Linked DNA regions of Callithrix jacchus. The protein of the gene in region 1 purifies or fractionates together with the protein of each later gene. This does not show direct contact. Links are inferred from orthologs where the notes say so. Each region holds a gene or a part of one and is shown on either strand. Other genes may lie near its edges.

What was found.
Region 2: the proteins of RAB24 (region 1) and GDI1 purify together in Homo sapiens (affinity purification with mass spectrometry; 3 studies listed by BioGRID and IntAct, counting the BioPlex papers as one, with this or other methods). This does not show direct contact. The link is inferred for Callithrix jacchus from reciprocal best matches to the Homo sapiens genes RAB24 and GDI1.

The regions. Positions count from the first base shown.
Region 1 is NC_133503.1:68,847,484-68,851,720, reverse strand, and holds RAB24 (ras-related protein Rab-24), read right to left. Parts: upstream 2,956-4,237; 5' UTR 2,532-2,955; coding exon 2,415-2,531; intron 2,332-2,414; coding exon 2,263-2,331; intron 2,069-2,262; coding exon 1,990-2,068; intron 1,885-1,989; coding exon 1,817-1,884; intron 1,737-1,816; coding exon 1,637-1,736; intron 1,420-1,636; coding exon 1,369-1,419; intron 1,230-1,368; coding exon 1,177-1,229; coding exon of another isoform or gene 1,167-1,176; intron 1,055-1,166; coding exon 911-1,054; 3' UTR 696-910; downstream 1-695. Other genes in the region: PRELID1 (PRELI domain-containing protein 1, mitochondrial), read left to right, coding at 3,227-3,318, 3,857-4,082.
Region 2 is NC_133524.1:150,231,581-150,236,034, reverse strand, and holds the start of GDI1 (rab GDP dissociation inhibitor alpha), read right to left. Parts: upstream 2,944-4,454; 5' UTR 2,861-2,943; coding exon 2,816-2,860; intron 1,606-2,815; coding exon 1,498-1,605; intron 1,373-1,497; coding exon 1,273-1,372; intron 1,164-1,272; coding exon 1,029-1,163; intron 543-1,028; coding exon 344-542; intron 86-343; coding exon 1-85. Other genes in the region: ATP6AP1 (V-type proton ATPase subunit S1), read right to left, coding at 4,125-4,334. UniProt on the Homo sapiens protein: Regulates the GDP/GTP exchange reaction of most Rab proteins by inhibiting the dissociation of GDP from them, and the subsequent binding of GTP to them. Promotes the dissociation of GDP-bound Rab proteins from the membrane and inhibits their activation.

The DNA.
Region 1 (4,237 bases):
AACAGGAGGTGTCAGTCCTGTTTACAGTAACACCTGATCCCTCAGAAATATATGGACCTTCAAGGCCTAATACTTTGGAGGACACTTGGGAGTTTGTTTCCCCTTGTGACCTAGTCCTGAACTTCCTGCCCTTTCAACAAAAAGTGCTTGGGAAGATTGGGAAAAACATTTAGTACTAGAATTACTCTTCACTTAGGATCTCACAATCCTTGGGCTGTGTAGTAGTCACCTTATTTTACAGATGATAAACTCAAGCTGAGGGTTTAAGTCCCTTTTCTAAATTGGAACCAAATCTGGATCCATTAGACCTTTCTGTCTTACAGAACTTAGGACTTTTCTACCATTAAACCGCATTGTAGGATGTCACTGGGATGCTCAGGACCTGAGTCACAGGTCTGACATATGGGCCCAAACATGACAGATGCAGTAGAGCTGGTCAGACCAACCTGGATAAAATGCTTGACCCTTTTATCTCAACACAGCTCACACACGCTTTGCAGCACTCGGAAGGAATTGTGAGCTTTGTACTACCCCAGCCCCAGTATCTCAGTTGTAACCCTGGGGAGAAGTCTTGTTTTCCAAAGGAAAATGAGAGATAGGAAAACCTTAATATAAACCAGTGAGGCCAGCTGGGTGGCCCCAGAAAGAACTGGGTGTCTTGACACCCAATTCACACAGCAGGGAAAGGGGCTGGGTGTGATTCACAGTGCATTGATTTTATTTACAGATCAGAAGCCACTTAAATAATCTGCAGACACAAGTGCTGTCCAGGGCAGAAGCCTGGGGTCCAAATAAGCCCTTATCCCTCCTCATGCCCACAGTCAGCCCAATGCTGCCTCCGTTCCATGGGCCAGCACAGGCAGGTGCCACCTTTGCTGACATGAGGACCTGGGTTAGCTCAGACATTTGACTACCCAAGCCCAGTAAGGAACTGGGTCCAGCCGCTCTGGGGAACTCCTTTAATTCTCCCAGGCCAGGTGAGTGGTGAATCAGTGATGACAACAGCTGTAAAAGTAGGGGTTTGCCTTCTGGCCCAGGTCCACGCCCTTGTCCTCTGTCAAAGAAAGAGGTGGCTGCTCAGCACCATTCTCTTGGGATCAGGTAATTCAGAAAAGAGGCTAGATGCTGTGGGCCTAGAGTAAGTCCATAAAGGCTGGGAAGCACACCTGTCATCACCTGGAAGGCAGCCACACTGACGTAATCCTCTGCCACTTTCTGGAAGAGCTCATCTGGCAGGAAAAATGATGATCAATGAGGGCCCAATGCCAGTAGTCCTGGGATCTCCCAGTGACCCAGCCCTCTGTTCCCTATTCAGCTTCCTCTGGTGCCCCTGCCTGTTCCTGTGTGAGGCCCCAGCACAGCACTCACCCACACTCTGGCCTGTCTTGCTGGATGTTTCAAAGAGCTGAGCTTTGATATCTGTAAAGAGAAGTGACTAAAGCCTCATATCTGAGAATTAGATAAGCAGACAAAAGGGAGGACTAGCAGTTCAGGGAGTCTCCTGGACCCCACAGTTCAAGGAAGCTAGGAAGCCCTTCTAGAGTACCTTGCCCTAGCAGCCAAGGCAGTCCCTATTTTCTGTGATCCACCCAGACAGCCACACACCCCCACCCCCCAAAGGGTGAGGAACAGCTACTGTCTGCATAATCCTGGACGTCATGGAAGTCCACACGTCGACGCCTCCGGTCTTCTTCCAGCAGGTCACTCTTGGTGCCACATAGGTAGATTTGGCAGCCCTGACACACAAGACAAGCGTCACCTCCAAAGACCAACAGAACCCTAGCCCTTGGTCTTCTGGTGAAGTCTATTCACCTACCTCCTCTAGACTGCGCAGTTCCTTCACCCAGAACTTTGCTCGCTCAAAGCTGCTGCTGTCTGTGAGGTCTTGGTGTGGGGCATGCAGGAGACACAACCAAGTGATCAGGGGCTGTTCTCTGGTTAGCCTGGCACCCACTTCTTCTTGTGGGCCAGCCCAGAACTCCCCCTTACCATAGCAGACGATGGCAGCCTTGGCACCCCGATAGTAGATTCTACTCATAGCCTCATAGCGCTCAGAGCCTGCTGTGTCCTAAAGAGGAGGGACAGGCTCAGCCCTGGTCTGAGTCAAACTTAAGGCCATGTTCTCCAGACCCCACTATTTTCCAGATAAGGAAACGGGTCAATGAGAAACGAGTCTGTGAGGCCACAAATCAATCAGTAATAGGCAGGACCTAAGCCTCCTCAAGAATGAGACTCCCTAGAATAGATGCCCAGGGAACTTACCCAAATACCTAATGTCACAGTCCGGTCTCCGACCGACATCACCTTAGCCACGAAGGCGGCCCCGATGGTCTGCAACGAGAGGGAAGAGATTGGGGCCATAGGTGCAGATTACGCCCCCGCCCACCGTGCCTGGCCCCTCTGGGTGCACTCACGTTCTGATAGGGCCCCACCAGAAAGCGATCGTGCACGTAGCGCTCCACCAGGCTCGTCTTGCCCACGTACTCCTTGCCCAGCATCACCACCTTGACGTCTACGCGCTGCCCGCTCATGCTCCCGGGGCCGCTTCAGCCACGTCAGGGTCCTGAGCGGGGACGGGGGCGAACCCGGATCTCCGCTCGGCCCAGGCAGCGCCCAGGCCTCAGACCCCAACCCCAAACGGCGCCAACCAACGATTCGAGACAGCGCGATGGGGTCGAGCTCTGGCCGTGGCCTTGCACTTTCGGCAGCTCCCAGTGTGCCCCCGCTGTTCCGCCCCGGGCGCCGAATATCCTTCGAAGACCCCAAGCCCCGGGGCGGCCTGGGAGCGTGCGGGACAGCGTCCTCAACAGCGCAGCACGCCGCCGTGCAGCTCGCTACTCCGTCATTCGCTCGCCTGCGGGCTTAGACTCAGTTCCGGCTCGAGTACCAATCGAACCTAGGGTCTCCGGCAACCCGGCTTCTACCCGCAGCGCCGCGACTCCCGCGGGAGGGGGCGAGAGGGAGAGGGGGCGGGGCCGCAACGTCACGTGGCGCGAGCGCCGGAAGCGGTGGCTACCGTGTGGCTGCGCCGGAAGTGGCGCGCAGCCGGACAACTCATGGCGGTGGCGGCGGCGGCGGCAGCTGCTAGGGCGCGGTGCGGTGGTGACTGAGCCCCGAGCCTGGCGGAGGGTGTGCGCCGAGCCCCGGCCCGGCCCGGCCCCCGCGTGCCTCCCAGGCTCCGCACCCCTGATGCTGCGTGGGTGCTGAGCCCGCTCCGGCCGGGACGATGGTGAAGTATTTCCTGGGCCAGAGCTTGCTCCGGAGTTCCTGGGACCAAGTGTTCGCCGCCTTCTGGCAGCGGTACCCGAATCCCTATAGGTACGTGGTGTTTGGGAGAGCAAAACCCCACCATCTCGCTATTTGGAGATCAAAGTATGGATAATCCCCGAGTAATGGGACCAGAAAGAAGTTGACATCTAATCCTACGTAGACCTTATCGGGGAAGCGGCCAGGCCAGGCCTGCAAGGTCCTGAAGGGAGGTTGGGCCTGGGTGGTGGTTTACTTGATATCTTAATATAAGGTTCTTTTCTCAGGGTCGTGAGACAAGAAGGGGCGGCAGTAGGGGAGTTGGGAGGGATCTTGGGGTCGGAAATCCTATCCTCTGCTCGTGGCACTTTCCTGAGGTGCAGTAAATCATGAGGTCTATTGCTGCTGGAAGGCCCAGGAATCCAGGTCAGCCAGATGGCGGGAGTTGGAATTTGCCCTGGGATGGGCTCTTAACTCTGGTGTGAACCATAACACATACAACTCTGCAAGGTTACAGGAAGGCCTCTCTGGGCTTGGAGATTCCAAACGGGAATCCCCTCGGGCAGTCTCGGGGCAGGCTCCTGAGTGCCACCTTCACTGACTCCTGCAGCAAACATGTCTTGACGGAAGACATAGTACACCGGGAGGTGACCCCTGACCAGAAACTGCTGTCCCGGCGACTCCTGACCAAGACCAACAGGATGCCTCGCTGGGCCGAGCGACTGTTTCCTGCCAATGTTGCTCACTCGGTGTACATCCTGGAGGACTCTATTGTGGACCCACAGAATCAGACCATGACCACCTTCACCTGGAACATCAACCACGCCCGGCTGATGGTGAGACACCTCCTGCTGTGATCCTGCCTCCCCCACCCCCAAATAGAGCTCTTCAGATACGTGTGTCTAGAGAGCCATGAGGGAGCTTTTGTGGTCTGAGGCAGGTCTGGGTTACTGAGGAGTGACAGCTGTAGAGTATGACCTCACATTTTCTT
Region 2 (4,454 bases), on another chromosome or scaffold:
ATACGGGCTCTTGCCATACCGGGCCAGGGACTCACTGTACAACTTGATGCGGTTGATGGTCTCAAGACAGGGCTGGTCCAAGTAGCTGGGGGACAGGGGTAAGGGAAGATGCTCCAATAGCAGCACCCTTGACTCACCACCACCCAGGTACCAGGCCAGTCTTCCCACCACCCTGAATGGCCTAGGGAACATGAAGATCAAATGCAAGGGGGAAATGGAAAGGGTGATAGGTGAGCCTATGGCTGAGTACAAGAGACATGCGGGGCAGGGGAACAGCAGGCAGGTGTGGGGAGGGAGGAGGCAGGCCGGGCGAGGGGGCTGCCGCCACACCAGCTTCCCTCACTCATCAGTGCGGTAGAGCGCCAGGGCGTGGCCAGTGAAATCGATGACATCCTGGCCCAGATCAAACTTTCGGTAGACATCACGCATGCTGGTAGTCTGAGGGTCAACACCCTCAAAGGTCTTGGGGTCATTCTCATCGAAGTTTGCCACAAACACCAGGAACTTGCGGAAGCGCCGTTTCTCAAACATGCCCATCAGATCTAAGGCAGGCGGCAGGACGAGGTTCTGCACCAGCGCAGCACAAAACTCTCCTTCCCAAAGGGCAGGGCCCCACTCCCAGTGTAGCTGTTGTGGGACCTTAGCTCAACCCCTCCGCTCTTTTCAGCCTCGGTTTCCCTGCCTCTATGAAGAGGGGACTGGCCTGGATGGCTCTAAGGGCCTTCCTTGCTCGGACATTTGGGGATGTCTCGGGGATCCAGTGGAGCCCCTGCCAAAAGGTCAAGTCTTTCCAAAGGAGCCCTGTCCTCCTCCACGTCACATCCCTGCTGCGTGTAGGCCTCTCTCCTGGCAGCCATCCGTGAGGCATGGCATGGGGCAGAGAGGATACAGAGTGAAGGGCCTCTGGTTCTTCATGGGGAATGTGACTTTGGACAAGGGGGTGCCTTACTCTGGACAGCCACCCATCCCAAGGACAGTCAACTTCCCTGCCACCCCATGATTCTCTGGCTCAGGGGGCCCACACTCACTGGAAGCCAAGGCCTCAGTCTCAGTGGACGGTACTTTGTAGATCTTGCCCCCCTTGTAGACAAAGCTGCCCTCCACCACCTTGAAGTCCAGATAGCGAGTCACCTCTGTATACAGTAGCATCTTTACCAGCTGCCCTGTGGGTGTGCATGGGGCAACATCGGCACTGCTCTCTCCAGAGTCTCTGCTGGTCTGGCTGCACCTCCCCATCACCCCGACCTGCAATATGTCCTTCCTGTCCCTCACCGTTAGCCATGAGGAATTTGGGAATGAGGTCAACGTTCCAGTCTCGGCCTCGGCCCATCGACTCAGGGGGCCCCTCCAGCAACTGAAAACGCTTATACAGCTGTAAGCAGAAGAGAGACACCTCAGGGACCATCTCCTCCTGCTCCAGGCACCTGGGGAGCTTCTTCTACCCTGTGCCGCTACGTGGGAGGTGAACAGGGATGGGCCTGGGCCCAGATGTCTCACCTCCTCCAGGGGTGTGATGGAGGAGCTCTCACCCCCATAGTAGGGGTTCCGGTCCATGTGCAGCACCTTCTTCCCGTTCACAGACATGATGCCCGACAGGATGCATTCCTGGAGGGAGGGCAATACCATCCTCTCACTCCTACCTGCCTCCCTTCCTACCAGCAGCCCTGATTTGTTCCCCACCCAAACCTGATCCAGTGGACAGCTCCTTCCACCCCCTCAAACCAGCTAGTTGCCTCGCCTAAAATTGGGGTGACAGCTTCATCTGACCACCGTCTCCTTTGTAACCTTGCTGGGCAAAGGAGTCCCATCCCCCTCACAAGGTAGGCAGTGAAATAATGGAGGCTCTGAGAGAGGCAGGGCATCCAGCAGACACAGGATGGCCTTCCAGTACCCACAAGCCAATGGACATGTATCTACGCAGAGCTGCACAGAAAGGCTGTTAAAACACAATGAGGCGCAGACGAGACCTAGCTGGACTGCGAAGGACACTCGAAAGGGAGGTGAAGAAAGGCTTAGCGCAGTCCTTGAAATTGTAGGCCCCACCCTGGACTGATCTTTCTTCAAATGGCGGGAGACCCTGCTGCTGATGAGGGGCATCTGGGCTTGGACTGAGAAAGAAGAGTCTCTCTGGGGAGCGGGCCAACGGGGTTTTTGGGGAAAAGGGGAAGATAAATACCCTCACCCGTCACTGTCACTAGCCCAAGGACAAAGGCTGCAGATGCTACTCAGCCTGAGGTCTCCATAGGCAACCGGGGTGGGGTTGAGGGAATGTGCTTACTGCCCCCACCGCTGCTCCTTCTGGAACATTCCCTGGATCCCCTGGCCCCAGAAGACGAGGAGGTGGGCTGAGGGCCCACCCTGAGGAGGCCCCCTGACCCCATGTCCCTGTCCCTACCGGGATTAGCGCAAGATGGGAAGGGACGCTAAGCGGGCGATGGGTGCGGGCAACCTGCGGGAGGGGGGGAGATTCCGTGATGGGTGGGGGCGATGGGTGGGCGGGGTCGGGGCACCGGGCTTAGCTGGGGTGCATTTTCCGGCCCAGCAGGCACAGGGGTAGGAAAGATGGGAGGGTGCCGGGGGTCAGACCCGGGCAGCCAGGAAGGGGGCCCCTTCGGGAAGATGGGGTCATAGCAAAAAGCAGAGGCGACGTCGCGGGGGGAGCGGCGCGGGGAGCGGCGGGGTGGGCACGGTGCCGGCTTTTTGGAGAGCCGAGCGCATCAGATGGCAGTGACCGGAGGGTGGGCCGGCGGCCACATCATCGCGGGGGGTGGCGAGGGCAAGACACGGGGCCAAGAGCGCCTGGGGCCGCACTTACGGTGAGGCCGGTCCCCAGCACGATCACATCGTATTCCTCGTCCATGGTCAGGCCTCGGTGCCAGTGCCCGCTCGGCTCCTCCTCCTCCTTCACCGCCGCCGCCGCCGCCGCAGCACTGGACCAAAGATGGCGGCGTTTCGGTCGCCGCCTGACCCCTCCGCCTCGTCAAAGAGTCCCGCCTATTCTCGAGCCCCGCCGCGCCCGGCCAGATCCACCGTTTCCCCAGCTCGCCTCCCAGGAGACCTGCTAGGGCCCGGGCCACAGCACCAGCGCGGCTCCGAGGACGACGCTGCTCGCCGAGGGTCCAGAGAGGCGCGGGGCGGGGCGGGCGGGGCGGGCTGGCGGCCGGTACTGCGGCTAGGAAAGGATCCGTGCGCGGAGCCGCGCGCGCCCCGCCCCATCCTCCCCGCCCCGCCCCGCCCCGCGCGCGCCCGCCCAGCCCCGCGGGAGGCTCGGCGCGGTCCCGCGGCCGGGTGCGCGCCGCTGCGGCAGCCGGGGCAGCCCCCTCATGATACGAAGGCTGCCATTGTCACGACGGCCTCCCGAGTCGCCAAAGCGTAACGGGACTCGGCCCGACCGCCCCTTCCTGCCCTAAGTGGTTAGGGCCCACCCTGCTAAAGCCCCTCCAGGTCTCCGCGGATGCTTCCTCACCTCTTCCTCACCGGGCTCCATCCTCCCGCATCCCTCCAGCGAGCACGCACCTAAAGCCCAGTGCAGAAATGACCTACAAGAGGCCCAAATCGTGGCGATCCGCGTTTATTAGGAAGGAAACAACCGAGCACGCCAGGCTCCTGCCAGGCACTCCCGATGGGAACATGCCAGACAGCTGGAGATTGCACCCAGCCCACCTGGGGTGGAGGTCCCTTCCTTCTCAGGCCACAGAAATAAACCCCAGTGTACTGCTTATCATTAGCACAGCATCACCAGAAAACAATAACGACAGCAAAGCAGGTCAGACAGTTAAGTAGTACCTCCACACCCCCAAACTCAGGGAGCCCCATAACCTTAAGGAGAGAGCATTTGCTACATAAAAGCACTATCCACAGCCAGGGATGATGTAGACACAATAAATAAGGAGAAAGGGGACCCTAGAATTCATGTCCCTTACGCCTCACCGCGGCTGAGCCTGGGACATTGGTCTAGCATCTACGCAGAATTATGTACACCTTGTTGGTAGGGATGGGGGCAGCCCCAGGAAATCTCCTTAGTGGGCTGAACGGGGAGCAAGATGGGCTAAAGGGAGCTTGGGGTTCATGCTGTGGTAGGAAGAGGGACACTGTCCCACCCTCAACCCCCTCCTGGCACAGGGTCACACAATCTGGGTCAAAGAAATGGTGGGGCCCTTGTGGTCATCAAAGCGATCCATGGTCTTGAGGCTGAGGATCATGTGCAGGCCATAGGTGAAGATGAAGAGCATGAAGAGGGAGGTGAGCAGCCCCATCCATATGCCGGGGGAGAAGAAGCCGGCGCAGTCGCTGGCATAGGAGAACTGCTCGCCCATCACATTGAAAGCTTGGATCTGGCAGACACACAGACAGGGGTCAGAAAGGACCGTCGGGAGGCCCGAGCCTGTGCCCAAGCAATTCTGTGACTCTTTGGGCCTCTCCTTGCCTCTCAACCACCAGCCTTGGCTCCATGA